3 linked regions of the Medicago truncatula genome follow. The protein of the gene in region 2 interacts with the protein of the main gene of each other region in a pairwise test. Links are inferred from orthologs where the notes say so. Each region holds a gene or a part of one and is shown on either strand. Other genes may lie near its edges.

Region 1 (6,280 bases), on a different chromosome or scaffold from region 2:
ACTGAGACGCGCTTGGGAAAGTGAGTGGGTCTAAAAGTGGAGGAAAATATACGCTGCCAAAATGGTAAGAACCAGATCTCTGACTAGAAAAGGAATGCCATCATGCTGATACCCACACGCTCGCATCGCAGTTCCCGCTCTCAGCATAAACCAGACCCACTCGCGCGTGAAACCAAACTCCCTTTACACAACGCCGTTGTTTTCTAACGTGGTCCAAAACCAACAGCATCAAATTTACTGGTGTCACTCCCTCGTCGGTTGCCGCCCAACATTCCAAATGCTCCAAACCGTAAAACATTTTAGATTCTATTATTACTAGTAGTTCAAATATTTTGGACAAAGATTACATAATGTGTCCATCATACCCATTATTAAAACTACAATTTGCCAAGCAAAGTGTCATATGAAAAAGAATAGTTGATGTGAACCCATAGCATTTATTTCAACGTGAGAATCTAGCTCAATAACACTCATACTAGTCATAGACATCAATTAATATGGAAATAAATAAATAAAATATCATAAAGTACTTCATTTTTTTTTTTTTAAATGTTAGATTGCCATAGATACATTACAAAGATAAGATAGGTAGATACTCCCTCATGATAACTATGCCGCTAATAAGGGAGAAAAAGACAAGATTAATTAGATAAGATCCTAAAACGACGCCGTTAAAAAACTACAATAAATCATCTCATTTTACGCTACTTATTTGTCTAGGGTTTTTCAAAGCCACAACGGTGGAGGTTCATTCAAGTCAATCGGAATCCCACGTCGAACAAGTCCCAAGTAAGCCGCCGTCGGAGAGTTCTCAGCCACCATAGTTCTGCCGGCGACAGCAAGAGTAACTTCATTATGCCTCTGTCCAACCACCCCGCCGATGGGTGGAGGTGGAGGAGGGTTGAAATCCTTGAGAACACCAGTTTGAAGAAACTCAGTAAGCACACGGCCACGTGAAGGGACAGATGGCCATCGGAGATCAGAAGAAGGAGCGTTGAGATCCAAACAAAGTCCTCCGGCGACCGGCGCCGGTGGGAAGTTGGTTTTTGCTTTAGCTCCACGAAGAGAACGAGCGGCGCCGTCGTAAGCAAGAGCAGCTTCTTCAGGAGTGTCAAATGTACCCAGCCAAACACGCGTTTTCTTCCACGGATCGCGAATCTCAGCGGCGTAGCGTCCCCATGGTCGCTTCCTAACACCTCTGTAGTGTCCTTCACGATTCGCTGAAGAAGTTGAAGAAGAAGCCATGAAAACAAAGAAAAACAACACAAGAAGAGAGAAAAGAAAGGGTTTGCGAAGTGAAGTGAGAAGTGATTTGAGTTTATAAAAGTGAAGGGACCCACATTGGCTCCCGTAATTGTCGGCTGGCCGGCACCACTACAATACTACTACTACCACCCTTTGGTTTTGATTTTTGGTTTGTGATTATGTTTGTATATATAGACACAAAAAACCACACGAGGTGGGAAGCAAATTTGGATAAAATAAAGGGGAGCCGTTGATACTGATGGACGGCTATGATGTGAGGATGAAAGAAAGTGGTGGGACCCTATTGGGATAGCCGCCGGCTGAAAAGACGTATGGGGTGGAAGGAAGTGGGGGCTGTAGGAGCGTGACGTATGCCCTACTGTTGTTGTACGGTGTTTGCTCAGCGGCGCCTGACACTTTTTTCAAACTACTCCTGTCATTTTTTTTTATCTTTTATACTCATCCGTAATTTTATTTAATTTACCTAATAATATAAGGTGACAACTAGGGTACCCATGGAAGAATGGTGGGTAATTTACCCCAACCAATACACATTAGCCACATAAGCACATTTTTAAGTGGTATCCATGAACTATCTTAACCCCACCAACAAATTGTTCATTTTCATTGGTTGGTGGGTAAATTACCCACCATTCTTCAAAGGTAATCTAGAAAAAACCATAATGTAATCATATTCCACTTTCATTGCTAATGTTAAATTTCGTTGGTGAATTATTAATAATATTTTTGTCTTCGGGAGCATAGTTTATTTGGATGAAATAGTTCATTGTAACATGCGGTGTTTTTTATTTTTGAAGGATGTAACATGCGGTGTTTGAATTTTAAAGAATCTATTTATTCATCTTAAAATAATATTCTAAATATTAGATTAATTAATTACAAAAAACCATCTTTCAAATAAAAAAACTACAAAAAACCTCACTAAGATTTGCTTTGTCATGTTAACTTATGTTGTTAGGCACAAGTTAGAGAGTTACGAAAACAATTAAAAGAATTATTTTGTATTTCAAAAATAAATTTAAATTTGAGTTAAATACATAGTTTTTAAGATTTTGTTTCATCTTTTAGTAATGATATGTGTAAAACCATTTGTCAAAACTTTTTTTTTCTTTTTTGATTAGTCAAAAACTATATAAAGAAAAAAAAGGAAGAGAGAAAGTTAAACAATAATGTAAATACTCCTCCGTCTCTATATCTAAACATCCATTTGATTTTATTTTAGTCCTTAAATGTAATCCCCTTTCTAAATTACTAGATGCATTTATTATTTTTTTTTCTAAACATACCTTTAATTAATACTCCATCCGTTCTAAAATATAAGCAAAAAAATCTTATTTTCTTTGTCTCAAAATATAAGCAAAAAAGATCAATTTTTATGCTATTATTATGTTTTTTCAAACAAAACATCTTTTTCAATGTAAAATTAAATGCAAATTGCATTCAATTTATTCTCCTTTTTATTTTCTCCATAATTTTTAACCAACGAGAATTATTTTTACATCTTTCCATGAAACTTATTTTAAGGAGAACACAAAAAATTATACCTCAAATCATTAAGTGTTAGTTTTCTTGAAATTTAATACACATACAAACAAAGAACAATTTAGTAATATTAACACAGAAAACAGAAACATTAATTACACTAATAACTTTTCTTAAGAAATATAAAAAAAGCAAAGGGAGTTTACATTAAAGGACGAAGGTAGTATAAGAGATAAAATTGTTTAAAAGTTGTCACAAAATAAACATTAAAATATCAATTATGTTCAATTTTTTTTTTTTTGGTACAAATTATGTTCAACTTTACATTGCCTTGAGGGCATAAGTTATTTTTTTATTTTTTTTAGAATTTTATTTCAAAAAATATTCTATTTAATGTTTGTGTTTTTTTGGGGATTGAGATGTGTCATTGGAGATGAATAGTGGTTTATTGGATTGGAGGGGGAGTTTGTAATAAATAAAGAGGTATTATGGGAATTTGAGTTGTGGTAATGAAAGAGAAAGGTGAGATGAGGTGGATAAATATGATTGGATAGGGTAATATGTGGGGTTAGGTTAGTGCAGGGAGAGAGACTCCCACGTGGAATGGTGTCTGAGTAGCAGGGAACAGGTGAAATTGGGCCACCTTGAGAAAATGGGCTTATTTTTTTCTTTTTTATGGTCTTGTTGGCGTGTTTGACTACGTTGTTGTTGCTTGGGCTCTGTTGTAGTACTAGCTTTAATAAGTCTGCTACGGAGGAGTATTATTTTTTGTGGAGTAAAGAAAAGAAAAAGGACGAAAATTGAAAAGTGAGATCAGTGAGTGGTGAAAGTCAGGGACTGGGAGGGTGGATGGGTGGGTGATGAATCAGGTTCAGAGTGAGTGACTGCAGCTAGCAGATGGCCACACTGTGTATGCCTACAGATACGGATGTGTGTAGTAATAATAATCGTCACGTGAATTCATTCATCTTTTTTTATTAAAAATTACTCGGTTTTTGTTTCTATACGTCACTTTTATTTTCCTGTTTTAAAATATAAAAAAAATTTATTTTTTAGATTTATTTATTTAATGATGTATGTGGTTCATAATATGGACCACATACATTATTAAATAAATTATGGACCACATACATCATTAAATAAATGAACCTAAAATATGAATTTTGCTTATATTTTGAAATGGAGGGAGTAGTTTTTAAGGAAAATGTCCGGGCTATTAAGACTCCTACACTCTCCATCTCTTTTTTATAAGAATGCAAAACCGCGGATATTAAAAAAAAATGTTTAAAGTAATAAATTTATTATGTTATTATCACCAAAATTATTTATTGCCTGTTGAGATATTTATTTAAGGTTAATCTTTCGTATTTTATATTTAGACCCGCGCTTAATTGTTAGATTTGATTAAGGTTGAATCCACTTTCTGAAATTTTTATTTTATCATATTTTATTTTATTTTGTTAGAGTTGTTAACTGAATCAGGTTTTATGTAATTTTTCTTTTTTTAATAATATATATGAGCAATGCATAAAATATGTAAGGTCCGGGGTTGGGACCTCGGCTACCACAAAAAAAAAGAGTAGTGTTCCAACTTAGTTGGACACTATTTTTTTGATGTCATTTTGGTCTTGTCTTATAAAAAAAGTATACTAATAAGTTCTTTAAAAACAAAAGAGTAATGATAGGTAAACACCCTTAATGGGTACATACCAAATTTCAGCTGCTCTAACAGTGATCCACACATTTAAATTAAACAAATATAAATGAATGTACCAGGGCAGCTGTTATGTAAAGTAGCCCTCATTTATCCTCCACAGAATATTATGATTTCTGTTTACATTTTAATTTTTGAACTGTTACAAATATTCTATCAACAAACTAAAAAAATATTGAAGTTCAAACGTAAAATGAGTAATAAAAAAAAGTAAACATGTAATGTACAAAATTGTGATTTACAAATTAGTAGGATTCTCAGCCTGTAAGGTAGTGCAGTACAGCCATCAGAATACCCCTGCCATACATACATCAAAATACGATTATTGAATGAAAAAAAAATCAAATCAATTGAGGATGGGAAAGTGAAGAATGCTAGGATAGTTTTCCAAAAATACCAGAATAAATGGAATGCTATCCTCCAAGCAAGATAGGTCCATTCTCCGCAGCAGTATGAGAATTGCCATAATTATTACTATGCCTCGTCATCTGTATATCGCGTGAAAAATGGGTCCTCTTTTGTGCATATGGTGCTGCCCTCGCTATAAAAGAAAAAAGAGATATATTATTGTGATTTCAAATTAAGACACTATCCATGTACAACTACAAGATCATATACATCTAGAAAAAGCTCAATGCAGTAACAGCATATTAAGATATTAACATCCTTACCTGCAATTTGCTGAGCCCGGATGATATTCTTCCGCCTTTTACACCAGCAAACTGAACAGGTAATCAGAAGTAGAAAAGTAAAAAAAGCACCTAAGCCAATGCCAACTTTAGCACCGGCAGAAAGATGAGGTCCGCATGTAGGTAATCCAGGTATACCACACAGACCCGAATTGTCCGTAAAACTGCAGCAATCCACATGTTTTTATTTAGCAACCTTAATCATAAAGAAAGGGGAGAAATAGCATGTAGATATGGTTCTTTTCTCTTTGCATATAAATAGAACTTAAGTTTATTCTAGACTTTTATCACAACATACTTGAAGCTAGCTCTGTGCAGAAGCCTTCCTCCTAGAGTTGCCGGTACCATTCCGGACAGAAAGTTGCCATTAAGGTTCCTGCATGGTAATTATTTTAATATGAACTTACAGTTTTCTTATCCGTCATATGGGCAAGTTAAAAGATAGAGTCTTACAATCTCTTTAATGATGTCAATTGTCCAAGGCTATCAGGAATCGATCCATTGAAAACGTTGTAGGACAGGTCACTGCATGTGCACAAAAAAAAAATCACAAATGATATTTACCATGATAGCAAAATCAAGATTCCAACCTCCAGTAATCTAACAGTTATCTAATTTCAAGCGGTTTAAATCAAAGTATGAAGAAACTGATTCACTTAAGTTCTACAAGTCACTGACAAACAAATTCAGTATCTTATGCCCTGTTGGCTTTTCAGTATTTAGAACTAAAGCTACAACCCAAAACATTAATATTTTTATTTAGATATTTGATTTGCTTCTTAGAAGACTTACCTGTTAGCTTTTACTAATTAGAATAACTTTAAAGTATGGAATATTCACTATACTGCTATTTTATAAATTTTACTTGACCTTTGTTCTTTATGTTTGAGCCTTAAATATGATATATAGTTCAAGAACAAAACATGCTTCAATTCAAGCAGGAAATAGCCGAGAATAACTAGAAAATAAGAGTAGGATAGGGAGTAACAAATACATGTTGTGAATGAAAAAAACTACATTTAAAAGTTCTTGTTTCAATCTCATCATGTCTTGCCGCTGCAATCTTTTTTAATTCATGGAAGAACTAGTATCAGGAACGGAGCTCATATAAATTCCAAACACGCCAGAA
Region 2 (7,363 bases):
ATTTCATATATTTGGCCCTAATTTGGAGCTGCATAGACTAGATCCCACCACACATTTACCCATCTTTCTATGGCATTGGCATATTTTTACTATAGCGCATGACGTTTCAATAAATAATTAAAATAAAATAAAAACACACTTTAACTCATGGTGGGAGTGTGGAGATGCGGATAACACTTTGGTGATATTGATCAATCACAATATCATAAGTGTACAAAATGATAAAAAATTATGACTTTCTTCTTACTCACTAACAAGCATTTTTTGTCATTTTGCACACTTGTGACATTGTGGTTGGCCATGACATTGGCACCTCAATATCACCAAAGTGATGTCCGTGGAGATACTAATTTTCGAACACACTCTTTAAAATATTTGAGTATTTTTTTCATAAAATTGTCTCCTTTACAATAATTGGTTTTGCTATAAAAAAAAAAAAGCTTAGTGGTGTATTGCTCGATTGTCTAATATTTATGTGTAACTTGAAGTTAACTTGTAAGTGTGATTTTGAGTTTTGAATTTATCATACAAACTTACTTAATGTTTTTTTTAAAGGAGAAATTCATTGCTTCTTATTATCAATCAAAAAAGAAATACATGACGGTACATTATCATAATCATGGAAGCTAGCATGAGATGGGGCTACCTTAGTTAATGCATGAGTGATCCCATTGGTTTGCCTCCTATTGAACTCGACATAAGAGTTCTGAAAACTAATCTGAAACAATTGTTTACAAGCATGCATAATACATCCAAACTCATTGTCATTCTCTAAAGAAGACCGAAAATGATCAACCACTATGTTAGAATCTAAAGCAAAGTCGACATTATCATAGTGAAGTTCCGCCATCCATTTCAACGCCGTATGAAAGCCTACGGCCTCACCCACAACAACATTACAAAGAGGGGAAAAACAATATGTTTTAGCACTAACAAATTCGCTCCTGTCATCACGAAGACAAATCCTGATACTCACATATTCATGGAAGAAGAAAAGGAGGAATCAATGTTACATTTATACCTACCATAAGCCGGCTTCGACCATTCCACCACCATACTATCGCTAGAATTGCCTTGGTGCGTCAAAGGTACATCTTCTCTTTGCAACCATATTTGTTGGGCTGATCGCCAATCATCCAGGGTATGCTTTGCACGCTCCAATACATGCATGATCGTTTCATTTTGCTGCTGCCACAATTTCAAATTCCTACGCTTCCACATACTCCACATAATCGTCACAAATAACTCTCTTTGGACCAAAGGCAGCTGATCAAGAAGAGTAAAAATAAGTGCATCCATATTATAATTTTTTCGGAGAGTTCTGTCAATTGTGTTCCATAATTGAACCACACGCCAAGCTTGCCTTGCAGTGAACATTCCAACAACACATCAATATTATCCTCATAGTTAACTTACTTTAATGTTAATAACTAGCTAGCATAAATCATTGTATATTCAACTAAATTTTAATCAAAATAATGTGTGTTTGAATTAGTCTTTAATTTAGTATAATTAATCGCAATATGTCACCATGACTTTGATAAAATTTAAATTTTGGATGCTAAAAGAAAAGCATCATAATGAGCAAATGAAAAATGTGCAAGAAATCCAAAACTAGTTTAATATATTAATGTATATGATGCTAAAAATATTATATTATATTATAATTACAAGTGGAGAAGTCCTGTGCATAGTCTCTGATGATTCCAGTCAAAGAAAAAAACAAAAGGCACTCAGGTGATCTTTTTAAGCCTGCAATGTAACAGCACAGAATCAGCCAGCAAATAACAAAAAAAAGAAAGAGAAAAGCTGAAAGGAAAATGTTATTGAGGAAATTTTTGGGTTAATCAATATGAAAGGTTCAGTTAGGTGTGTGAAAAATAAAAATAAAGCATGTGTTTTGGGACAGAGAAACAGTGTCTGTGAATAGTTTTAACCCTCAGAGTGCACTTTCCTGACACCTTCTGTAGAAGAAAAAAAAAAAAAAAAGACAAGTGCTTTCAATTGCAAAACAACAAGAAGCACGAACCAGCTAGATAGTCTTTTACTTCCACTGTACCAACCAGCATCAGTGAACTTCAAAAGTTACATCATCATGATGATGATAAATAATGCTTATAACTCTGAAACACTGTGTGTGTGAGGGAGCAAAAATAAATAAATATAAAGACCTTTCACTTTGCTGCTATATTGATATTTGTTTGACATTCAAATTTGTCATGTATCTTGTATTTTTATATGATATGATTAGTTACCACAAATTAGGAGTTTATGAAGCTTGAACGACTGAATTAAACAGCATGTATTCCTAATAAGAAGATATAATATAGCATGTAAAAAGAGAAGAGGTATTTATATTAGTAGTTTTCAAATCATAATTTTTAAAAGTAATAAAAGTTGTAATCTTCAAGTTGATTGGTTATGAGGAAATTGTTGGTAATATAAGAGATTTGACTTATATACTCAATCTTTAAATTTTGGATAGAGATGTGGTGTTCAGTCTCTTACGGATCCTTGATCATTGACTCGTTGTTTTTCTCAGCTCTCCTCTAGAATCCCCAAAAACTGGTATGGTAGCCTTGATTCAACTTGATGGGGAGAGTGGAGGTGGAATCCTAGTGTTGGATCCTTGTATTGAAAGTCCTCATAGAAAACGTGTTATGTTGGAATTATGTAGTGCAAATATAGAATGTGGGAGACTTGCATTTAAGAGAAGATTGTTGGATTCGAGTGTGAGTGGTTTCCCACATCCAATGTAGTTGAGTTAAATATTAGATATATAATAGGTGTGACTCATATACCAAACGTCTTAAGATTTCTAATAGAGATTAGTTGTTTCTCTACCGTGGTCATGGATCATTGGTTCTATTGCTCTTGACGCTCCATCAAACACCTCAACAAATGGTATTAGAGTCTTAGTTCGACTTAATTGTGGAGTTGGAGTGGATCATGATGTTGGATTCTTGTATTTGAACTCTTTCTCGCATTGTAGTAAGGGCGTGTTCTATTGGTTAATAGATGTGCAAGTATAGGATGTAGAAAACTCACACTTGAGAAGGAGATGGTTGGACTCAAGTGTCTCACATTTATTATATAAATGAGTTACATATTAAATTTATACGAGAGGTAAACCATAATATATACTTTATGCGTTGAGTTTTTAGTAGAGATTTGGTGTCTTGGCATTCCTTGATCATTTGCTCGTTGTTGTTATTGGTGGGGAATGGATCCTCTCCGGTGACTGGAGGGTCCAATGAAATCTTCTCCATTAAAAAATAAATGCATTTGAGAAATTAAATGTTAAAATCAAGAGAGAAAAAATATTTAATGACTTAAATGCATTTGAGAAATTAAATGTTTAATGACTTAAATTAAATGTGAAATTCCTTATTGGAATTATTGTATGTGTTGATATTATAAAATTACAAGTAATTTAGAAAGAAGTTGTATCAAACTTGATATTTCTATTCAATCTGAAATTTAGAAACTACAAAATATAATCCAGACATGTACTTATAACATCTTGTTTAATTCATCTTATACCGTATTAGAAAAGCCTCAAACAATGATTTGGCCAAAGCCTATTTTTGGTAACCAAGCTATAACTTTAATATTTAAAAAAGGAGAAGTGAAACACACACTTACTGTTATTCCTATATGGCCCAAAAAGATGATGTATTCATCTTGTGGTTGAAGAAATCATATTAACAGCCAAACATGTAAAGGATTATCATGACATGACTGTACCCAATGAAACATAAGAGTCCAAAATTGACTGTAACCTAATTTCTATCCTTGAAAGTAAGATGCCTAATGGTGAGAAAATGTAACAAAAGATAACACATCATTCCGTACCTAAAAAAAAAAAAAAAAAGGATTCAGCTTTAGCCAATGACCTCCCATATCTATGAATAAGATCATGCCAGGCATGCTTAAACCAAAAAAGATTATAAATGACACGTACTAGACTTTCTTATATTCAAAAGCTATACCATATCCTAAGATTGTTAAAAGAGATTTATACCACCGACTACAATTGCGATTGGTATGGTTAGACTTTTTGCTCACATTCGTCGTGTGACTCAAGCTTGAGTCTAAACTTCTATAATTTCTTATAGATTAAGGACTTTTTGACCTCTAATAAACACTCCAAAATATCTTACTTTAGGTTTAGATCTTTTGATCGTGCTATATAACCAATTCATAAGTTGATAATAGGATGTCCTTATTGTTTATGCGAGGTTGGAATGTCTCTCAAATATTAAACTTCAGGAATCAAATTTATATTCTTAATCTAAAAATTATAAAGAAAAAAGGAAGAGAAAAAAAAAATTGATGCTATATCATGATATATGATAAAATAGGCAGTATAGGTAGCTAAGCAGCTTACACTTGACATAATCTGATGGCACTGTTTTCAAAGAATGATGTGGAGACAGCAAAACCAAAGGTGCATGGACTAACATGCATTTGCATTTAATTTTTTCTTTGTACATTAGTTTATGAATTTGTGTAAAAGATGTCAGAGACAAGGGCAGCAGCAGCAACAACAAAGGCAGGTGCAGAGAAAAAAACAGAAGCATCACAGGTTCAGTCATTATAAGTTCAGACTCACTATCTCACCCATCCACCACATAGCAAAAATTAGTGAAGAGGTGGCAGAACACAATTTTCATATTCATTAACTATTATCCATCCATGCACAGTACAATAATCTCCAACCCCTCTTAACCCTCTTAAATAAAAGCATCTTCAAGAAAATCCTTATTTTTGTTTCTCAAAAAATGATGAGTGCAAGTTCAAGAAATAGGTCACTTTTCACACCAAATCAATGGCAAGAACTTGAACAACAAGCCCTAGTTTTTAAATACATGGTTACTGGAACACCTATTCCACCAGATCTCATATACTCTATTAAGAGAAGTTTAGACACTTCAATATCTTCAAGAATCTTTCCTCATCCACCAAGTAAGTATTGTTATAACTCTTTTTATTATATTTTATGATAAAAGAAATACTATATACTTTATGTTGTTGTTGTTATTATATATATGTGTATACTTTATATTTGTTTGTTGTCATAACTGTGAATGGTGCAGTTGGGTGGGGATGTTTTGAAATGGGATTTGGCAGAAAAGTAGACCCAGAGCCAGGGAGGTGCAGAAGAACAGATGGCAAGAAATGGAGATGCTCAAAGGAAGCATATCCAGACTCAAAGTACTGTGAAAGACACATGCACAGAGGTAGAAACCGTTCAAGAAAGCCTGTGGAACTAGTAGTTTCTTCTTCAACAACAACACCAACAAATAACACAAACACAGCATCTTCTTACAGCAACAGAAACATCTCCTTGAACAACAACAGCAGCAGCATAAACTCACCTTCTTCTTTCCCTTTCTCTACTTCATCCATGGCTTGTCATGATCAGTCACAATCTTTTTCACAATCCTACCAAAACTCTTCTTTAAACCCTTACTATTACTCTCAATCAATTACCTCTACTAAACCACTTGATCATTCTCATTTTCAAACTCAAGATGCTACTACTCATCACCTCTTTTTGGACTCAACATCTTATTCTCAGGATGACAAGGACTTTAGGTATGTATAAAACCAATAAATTCTAAATTGTTTTTTCAGTTACGCTGCCAACTTTTATATTTATATCTAATGCGGTTGAAATTGCAGTTGTCATACCGTTATAGAGACCTCTAAATATATTTATATTACGATTGCAGACTACAATTTAAAATCATAATAAACATATATATATATATATATATATATATATATATATATATATATATATAAAATTGCTAGGTTTTGATATTTTGTTGTGTATGTGTTATTGTACTTGATTGTTGATAAAGGAGGCAAGTTCAAGGAATAAGAGATGGTACTGTGGATGAGAGAACTTTCTTTCCAGAAGCTACAGGTTCATCTAGGAGCTGTTATCATGATTCATATCAACAACAACTATCAATGAATCCCTTTAAGTCTTACTCAAGCTCACAGTTTCAGAATATCAATGATGATAATTCAAGACAACAACAAGAACAACACTGTTTTGTTTTAGGCACTGACATCAAGTCAACAAGAACAACAAACAAGGACAAAGAAAGTGAGACAACTCAGAAACCACTTCATCATTTCTTTGGTGAGTGGACACCAAAGAACACAGATTCCTGGCTAGATCTTGCTTCTAACTCCAGAATTCCAACAGGTTGATTATCATTTATCATCATTCCTATGTTTTTGTTTTTTTTTTGTTATTATTAATATAAATATTATTATCCATAAAGTTATTTAATATTATCACACTTTACTAGCGTCTAGATAGGCACTTCTGTCTATGTCTGTCCGCTTTTTCTACTACGCTAACAAATTTATATACTTTATTATCCTTGGCAGATGAGTGAAGTTATTATTTGATTAAGAATTGCTGGTGGATACTGCCAAGAGAGAGTTAAAGATCAAAATGTTATGTGTGGCTGGGGTGAATTTTCTTTAGCAAAAGGTGTGATCTTTATTGTGTTATGTAGGGGACCACATTAGGATTTTTTTGTGTGTCTTGATGATATATTTTATTATTATTATAATATGCTTTGTTTCTTCAACATGAAGAAAAGTTAAAAAAAACATGTCTCAGATTTTCACACTTAAGATGTTTGACTGGAAAGCATATTAAGTTGCTTATGCAGTCTACTTTTTTAAATGGGTGGTAGTAGCAATAGCAATCAATCAAGGACAAATTTAAATTAACTTTCTGATGCTTGTGCTTGTATGTTGTGATGTATGGACCCAACAGCCAGAAAACATGTGCAATGAATATTTTGCAATATATTTACTACTGTTTTAAGATTAGGTGGGGAGAGACTGAGAGAGACACTTCCCCCACATCAAAATTCTCTATAACATATATCCAATTGATTGTAACTAGAGTGGTTGTAAGGTTTCAAACTTTGCATCAACACCTTATATTGTTTCATTCATTCACCACCCTTAGGATATAGAAATCAATGTGGTGTAACTAGGTACATGTTTAGCTTTATAATTTGCATCCTTCACTTTGGTTCCACTTCTAGAGGAACTAGAATTGATTCTGAATTGTTTAGTTATTGTCGACTAGAATTGATTCTACTTGAAACTAAGATATGTAGTTTTTGATTCTAGAATTGATTTTCACGCACAATTTTATAATTTGATTCATTTTTACATAAATTTGACTCATTTTTACATGAATGTATTCAAACACAAATCACTTTTGGTCAAGTTATTTTTAACCAAAATCAATTCTTTCCACACACAACCAAACTTCTATAACATCTTACTTTATAAACTTTATTAATTATTTGGTTACTAG
Region 3 (7,396 bases), on a different chromosome or scaffold from region 2:
TGAAGACCCACCGACACCTCCTCACACCACCAAAAATGTGGCCTACATCACCACCTCACACACCCATCACCTCCTCCACATAGATCTGGATTGGAAGGAAACAACCACCACACAAAAACACCAGACAATTTGTATTTTTCTAAGAGCCGCAAACTCAGCACACGCAAGGAAGAAAACAACCGCAACTATTGTACTAAAACCACCACCAACACCTCCTATTACCTCCAAAACCGAGACTTACCTCACCACTGTCACCACCTCACACCACCATCACTTCCTGCACAGGGATCTGGGACAAAACGAAACAAACACAAAAGAGCCACTACGAAAATCAACGCCAACATATACCAACATATACGAAAACCACCCAAATCTGCCATAACAAACCACCATCAACCCCACCACCATGAGTTGCTACACCACCATCATATGGATCACGCAGAAGAGGAATAAAACCACCGACGAGAACCGCTACGACGGAATGACTACAACACAAATCCGGACACCAACCCACGAATCCAAGGCCATCACCACCGAGAAAGGGTGTTGCGCAACCCATATCAACCACCAAACCACCGCCATCTTGGAATTATACCAAAGGCCGCTGGCGGTCTACGACCACCCCAACATAATATTGACACTTTATAAAAAATAATATTGGAATGATAAAAAATAATATTGACACTTTAATTGCATTTCTTAATCCATGTGTATTTGTTAGAATGACATATAAAATGGAACGGAGGAAGTAGTTTATATCAAACGTGTTTTTAAATGTTGGATTGCCATTCGTCTTGGCCCAAACATATACAAAGTAACATTTGATCTATTAGTTGTCCTATCTTAGAAACTTTTTAGCACCCTGGTATAAAAAGCTTAGAAAATTCCTATAATTGATCAATAACCTAACATTTTCTACTTTTGGCCCCCGTGATATTATATACTTTATTGTTTTATTTTTGAAAGACTTGCAAAAACATGCTATGAAAAATCAATAGCAAAAAAAATTCTATTAATACAATGTCTATCATGATGACACATCATTTCTTAACATATTATAATTCTTCTGAAGTGGTGATAGATTTGAGAGAAGAAAATTTGGTCTAAAAAACTAAACTCAATCCACTCTTTAATGAAAGCTATATGTGAATTTATGTTTGATCATTTTTATTACCACTTATAAAATTCTTTCTTTCAAAAAAGTTTATCGGAGGATAACTTATATCTTTTTATCACATTTTATTTCTTGAACAATTTATTAAGGAAAACATGCAGTAATGAAGCACAAAGTTGTGTGCATTGATTGATCTTGATCATAAATCTTAGATTGGCCGGTTCATATTACACTCATGTAAAATCATCTTTAAATAATCTTTATTGTTGATTTAAGATTAAACGACCAAATGATCAAAAGTAACAAAAAAAGACCATATGATCACATAATTAATGTGTGGCATCTGAATTACATGGATGCATCATATTTTTATTGATAGTATTTTAGCAATTATATACTCATCCGATGTAATATTTTTGCTGTTATAAACAGAGTTTGCATGCAATATTATTTCCCTTGTCTAGTATTGAAGGTGGTTAATTAATTGAAATACAAAACAAAAAATAAACGTACCCAAACTTTCTATGTAAATTTGATTATGGTAAATTTAAAAAGAAAATTCAATCTAAGTAACTTTTCAAGTAGTACAAAGATTTGTTAAAAAAATAGAGTAGTAACTATTTCACAACTGTATAATTTTAACTATGTAATTTTACATGAATCTAATCTATAATTATGTTCCAATTGTGTAACTATTTCACAAAGGCAACCATATATTGGTACACATTCTCTCAAAAAAAAAAAAAAAATTGTGTACACAATTTTTATCCCTCTTCTTTATACTATTATATTAACGGAGAAATGGGTAAGTTTTGACATTTACTATTATGAGTTGTATGAAATGTCCCTTACATATGATTATCACTAACGAGTTTGTACTATTTCTTTTATTTACATTTAATGCATTCTTCTTTGCTTCTTCTGGGAATATTTTTCTCTATATTATTTCTATTCCTAACTTATATTTTTTAAAGAGAAAATGATGCATTAGATTATGAACAATGTTCTATAACAAATACTAACAACAATTTTAACATAGAAAGGAGAAGGAAGCTATGTTACCAAAGTTGCACTTGCAAATATATGGTCATGATCAACTGTTGTTGACTATACCATTTCAACAATAAGATGCTAAGAGTTGTGTGGTTAAAATCATAGCTAAAAAGTTTACATGTAGTTACTAGTTAGACTTAGATATGAAATGAGATTTTATGGTGCCGTTTAGTTATGAGTTTGAATGGTTGAGTATCACTTCGTTGTTGGGAACCAAACACATTTTTAATTAAAATTTATCCTCTTCTCTCTTTTGAACCAAACATATATTTAATTAAAATATCTCCCCTCCATTTTCTTTCACTCCATTAAAATCCATTCCCTCCTCTTCATTGAACCAAATATACCCTTATAGCATTTTTTTAACAAATAGAACAAATAAATTTTGTATTATTAAATTGGTTGTCGTGATTGCTATTATTGATGGTTATAGAAAATTTAACAATACGCATGTATTTATACTAGTTCTAAGCCTCGTTTCGGAAAGAGTTGTGTTATTTAAAAAACTATTTATATGACAACTTTTGAGACAACCATAAATTTATAAAAAAAAAAGTATCGACATAAAAGCCAAAACAATAGAGAGGAAAAATAAAAACATAACATGAGTATGAAAGAGAAAGTTGTCACAAAAGTTGTCAAAATATAATTGTACAAATATTATTTATCTTTTGAAAAGCACGAAGTTATTATGCACAAATCTAACCTCCATGTGTAACTACATCCGACAACCACTAATCTCCAACACAAAGCCCCTGTTTGGTTCTGCGGTAAGATGCCTCAAACGTGCGTTTTTCACTACAAACGGGATTTCATGACACTTGAAGGATGTTTGGCAAGCAGTTGGAAACATGATTCTTCCTTTCAAAATCGATTCCAGTTGAAGCTACCATGTGTAGCTTTTGCGTCTGACTATATAATCAATTTTATGGAAATCACAAGATATTTTACAGCTCTATCCTTTTCATCCCGCGCTTATTTCTTTCTGTTATGTGCTACAGTGTCATTGTCTAGAGGTTAGTAGTGATAAAACTAAGAGAAATGATATTTGAACATTTTTTTTTATAACTTTTGTGACAACTTTTTCTCTCATACTCACATTATGTGTTACTTTATCTCTCTATTGCTTTGATTTTCGTGCAAATACCTACTTTTTCTTTGTAAATTATTGTTGTCACATAAGTTGTCAACCAAATAGTTATTCAAATAACACTTCTCTAAAACTAAATGGCTCTGAAGTCCCATCATTATGTTGAGTCGGTTGCCTTTAATTTTTTTTTCCTTTCTTTATATTATTACCTTTTACTTAATCAACATATTTATGTTTTACTTACTACCCAATCAACGTATTTGACAGTATTTTATTAATCAATTAACATAAAAAAATAATTAAAGAAGATGTAACAAGAAAAATGTATCAATCCACTATATTAACCAAAATAAAAGAAAAACTAATTAAATGATTGAGAAAAAATTTACCAAAATAAATGAAGGAGAGAAAAAAAAAATTAACAAAATAAATGAATGAGAAAATTGATCTATATGTTAAAACCTATTTTGGTCATTTCCACGCTCAAAAGCAATTTTGACACAAAATATCCAAACATCATCTTACATACAAATCAATTTTGCATTGAAGGTATTCAAACACAAACCACTTTATGTTAAACTCACTTTTAACCAAAATCAATTCTGCAAAATTAATTCAATCAAAATCAAATTTTGCCACCGCGTAATCAAACACACGCTAATTCAAAATCAATTTATATGTAATCTCAAAACCAAACATACGCTAGCTTTATTAAAAAATTCAACAAAATTTATATACAACCTATAATTATAGTATTACCGATTAAAACTCGATCAAGTATGATTATAATTTTTTTTAGATAAACAAAATAACAATAGTTATTAAAAACTCACTCATAAAAATAAAAAAATTAAAGTTCAAACTTCGATCACCACAATTAACTTAACATTTTCGTTGTTATTATCTATTGAGAGATGACATATTCATATGAACTCAACTTTCAATCAAGTACTAGTATAGTAGTATTAAATTAAACAAAAAGACATATTTTTTTGACCGACAGATTAAATTAAGCACGTCTAATGATTGTATTAACAGCAAATTGTTGATAATCAACAAAGCTGGTCAATGAAAATAGCAAAAGTCCAAAAAAGAAAATTAAGAAAAAATAATAACAATAAAGAAAAAGAAAAGGTAGACAGAAAAGAAAGGGGAGAGAGAGAAGAAAAAGAAGAGCTGGAATCACATGGACTTGTCTTTCCCTTGCTGGGTCCTCCATTCTCTTCTTCTTACTTTCTCTTCCATTCTCTTCTTCTCTCTTTCTTAGATTCATTCTTCTCTTCTTTCTTCTCTTCCTCCTCCTTCAACCATGTCTGAGGATAAGGTACTTTTTTGTAGCATAAAAATCCCCTTTTTTTTTTTAGCTTTTTTGATTGGTTTGTGAAAAAACTGTGATCCATGAATGCTAAAATTGAAAAAAGTTGTGATTTTTATTGTTTTTGTTGGATTATGAAGCTGTAAATTCATCTGGGTTGTGTGATTTTTGTTTAATTTTTTTTTGTTAGTTGATTAAGGGATTGTTAGGGTTTGTTATTTTGGGGGAAATTTGATTTGTTGCTAAATTTTTTTTGGTCTTTGAGGTTAATAGAGAAAACCCATTTTGCTTATTTTGAAGTTGATCTATGGGTTTCTATGAAGTTTTAATTTTTTTTCTTTATTGAACTGGATTTTTTTTTAATTTTTTTAATTTTTAAGATTTGTTTGTTGCCGACAGTTATGTTATAATCAGATCATGTTCTTATGTTGATGTTGGACTCTCAAGGTTTTGTTTTGTTTGTTTGTCATGAATCTGTGATTGGTTGCTAGTTTTGCTATATGTGTAGTTTATCAGTTTGATTTGCGATTCTGATGAACATGTTTTGGTTCAATTTGTTGTTATCTGTTTCTATCTGTTGTATTGTTTTGAAATTTTAAGATATTTTAGCAAAATATTTTGTTGTGTTGCTTTTTTGTTTCTTACTTCAATTTTTTCAATAAAAGTTTGTCAAAAATTAAGTTTGTTTTCTGGATTGAGTGCTGCTATAGTTCTTGGTCGCTTGGTCTTTAGTTTTTAGCATCTTATTTCCTTCATGGTCGTCTTTTTGCGGTATCATCATATGTTGCGTACCAGATTTGTTTCTTCATGTTATATCTTTTAGAAACTTACCTTTTGTGTTTTTGAGTATGCTGTTGATATGTGATGGTTTAATTAATTGTGTATCTTGTTCTTCATGGTAGTCTTTACTTGCTATTTTTGATGTGTTCATCAATTAGTTAATCATATTGTTTCTATTTTTAACTTCACTTTGAAATCAAACCATCTATAAGTATTTTGTGAGCAATTCCAAATTCTTATGTTCCATCAATTTCAACAGGAGATGTCTACTTCTGTTATCAATGGGAACGATTCCCTCACTGGTCACATTATATCTACAACAATTGGAGGCAAAAATGGAGAGCCAAAACAGGTATCATATTCTGTAAATCCTGTTTTGCTGATAATATTTCAATTTTGAGATTGAGTGATTTGCCGAGTTGTTAACAGTTCCATTTGATAATTTTTCCTGGATTCCAAGTTTGACATCTTGTTCAATGGTTCTTGTAGACTATTAGTTACATGGCAGAGCGTGTCGTAGGAACGGGATCATTTGGAATTGTTTTCCAGGTATGCTAAAGCTAGATTCCTAATTGTTGTTGTCTCCACCATTTTTTTTTGCCGCATGCTGATTTTTCTCTTCTTAGGCAAAATGCTTGGAAACTGGAGAGGCAGTAGCCATTAAGAAGGTTTTGCAAGACCGAAGATATAAGAACCGTGAACTACAATTGATGCGTGTGATGGACCATCCAAATGTGGTCACTTTGAAGCATTGTTTCTTTTCAACTACAAGTACGGATGAACTTTTTCTGAATTTGGTGATGGAATATGTTCCAGAATCCATGTATCGGGTCTTAAAGCACTACAACAATGCTAATCAGAGAATACCGATCATCTATGTAAAACTTTATATGTACCAGGTATGCCTTTAACTTTCTGGCGAATAAAAAACTTCTCTAATTCATTCAGTCATTGGCTGATATAAACTTGTGGTGGGCATGCAGATCTTCAGGGGGTTGGCTTATATCCACACTGTTCCCGGAGTTTGCCACAGGGATTTGAAACCTCAAAATATATTGGTATGTTAATATGCTGTTGCTGGATATACATTTAAAGTTAGAACTCTTTCGTAAACGTAGTAGTTACTTCTGGCCCTGATTTCATTATGTTTGTTCTCCAGGTTGATCCTCTCTCACATCAAGTTAAGCTATGTGATTTTGGAAGTGCAAAAATGCTGGTATGTTGACCTGCTCATCATATTTTAATATGCCTAGTTTTCTTTCTTTGGTGTGCACCTGTATTTTTTTTCCTTTTAATTGAGTATTCAGTAACATTATTATTATTATTAATTGTTTTTTTTCTTTTCATTTTGAGTATTCAGTAACTTAGAATGTCAACCGATAATCAATCAATTTTCATAAAGTTTTGACACTTGTAGATGAGATGTTTGTAATTATTACACTGTGTTGATGTCAGTTTCTTTGCATGATGTCTTTCGCTGCTCAACAGCAAGCTTTGGAGTCTCCCTACACTCTTATTTATTTATTTTATTTCAAAGAATTCATAGTACTTTCATATGGTACTGATTTTAGATTTTTTTTTCTTTGTTCAGGTCAAGGGCGAAGCTAATATATCATACATATGTTCTCGTTTCTATCGAGCTCCAGAACTTATATTTGGTGCCACAGAGTATACTACTTCAATTGATATTTGGTCAGCTGGCTGTGTCCTTGCTGAACTGCTTTTGGGCCAGGTTTGTGCCATTATTTTGTTTTCATACTCACAGTCATCACCATCATCATCTAGTGCAAAATGATGTATTTCTACTAGTATCTTCCACCTATGACCTACCTGTCATCTGATACAATGCTATCTTTTGTAGCCGTTATTCCCTGGTGAAAATGCAGTGGACCAGCTCGTACATATTATAAAGGTGCTTGGAACACCCACCCGGGAGGAAGTACGCTGCATGAATCCCAATTACAATGACTTCAGGTTTCCGCAAATAAAAGCACACCCATGGCACAAGGTCTGCTTCTCTCTTCTTCGACTGCTGATTTTTTAG

The links. The genes of interacting proteins can lie anywhere in the genome.
Region 1: the proteins of growth-regulating factor 5 (region 2) and ethylene-responsive transcription factor 12 interact in binary tests that used the Arabidopsis thaliana proteins (3 or more experiments, as listed by UniProt). The link is inferred for Medicago truncatula from reciprocal best matches to the Arabidopsis thaliana genes GRF5 and ERF12.
Region 3: the proteins of growth-regulating factor 5 (region 2) and shaggy-related protein kinase eta interact in binary tests that used the Arabidopsis thaliana proteins (3 or more experiments, as listed by UniProt). The link is inferred for Medicago truncatula from reciprocal best matches to the Arabidopsis thaliana genes GRF5 and BIN2.

What each region holds. Positions count from the first base shown.
Region 1 is NC_053043.1:4,049,067-4,055,346, reverse strand, and holds ethylene-responsive transcription factor 12, read right to left. Parts: upstream 1,419-6,280; 5' UTR 1,246-1,418; coding exon 727-1,245; 3' UTR 509-726; downstream 1-508. Other genes in the region: receptor-like protein 4, read right to left, coding at 4,876-5,003, 5,134-5,315, 5,450-5,527, 5,605-5,676.
Region 2 is NC_053049.1:7,193,724-7,201,086, reverse strand, and holds growth-regulating factor 5, read left to right. Parts: upstream 1-4,432; 5' UTR 4,433-4,784; coding exon 4,785-4,968; intron 4,969-5,099; coding exon 5,100-5,601; intron 5,602-5,870; coding exon 5,871-6,223; intron 6,224-6,411; coding exon 6,412-6,419; 3' UTR 6,420-6,843; downstream 6,844-7,363. UniProt on the Arabidopsis thaliana protein: Transcription activator that plays a role in the regulation of cell expansion in leaf and cotyledons tissues.
Region 3 is NC_053043.1:5,064,037-5,071,432, forward strand, and holds the start of shaggy-related protein kinase eta, read left to right. Parts: upstream 1-4,388; 5' UTR 4,389-4,566; coding exon 4,567-4,581; intron 4,582-5,611; coding exon 5,612-5,704; intron 5,705-5,841; coding exon 5,842-5,901; intron 5,902-5,978; coding exon 5,979-6,251; intron 6,252-6,335; coding exon 6,336-6,410; intron 6,411-6,511; coding exon 6,512-6,568; intron 6,569-6,943; coding exon 6,944-7,084; intron 7,085-7,213; coding exon 7,214-7,360; intron 7,361-7,396. UniProt on the Arabidopsis thaliana protein: Negative regulator in brassinosteroid signal transduction pathway important for plant growth. May be also involved in auxin signaling pathway. Phosphorylates and increases the degradation of BZR1 and BZR2/BES1 by the proteasome.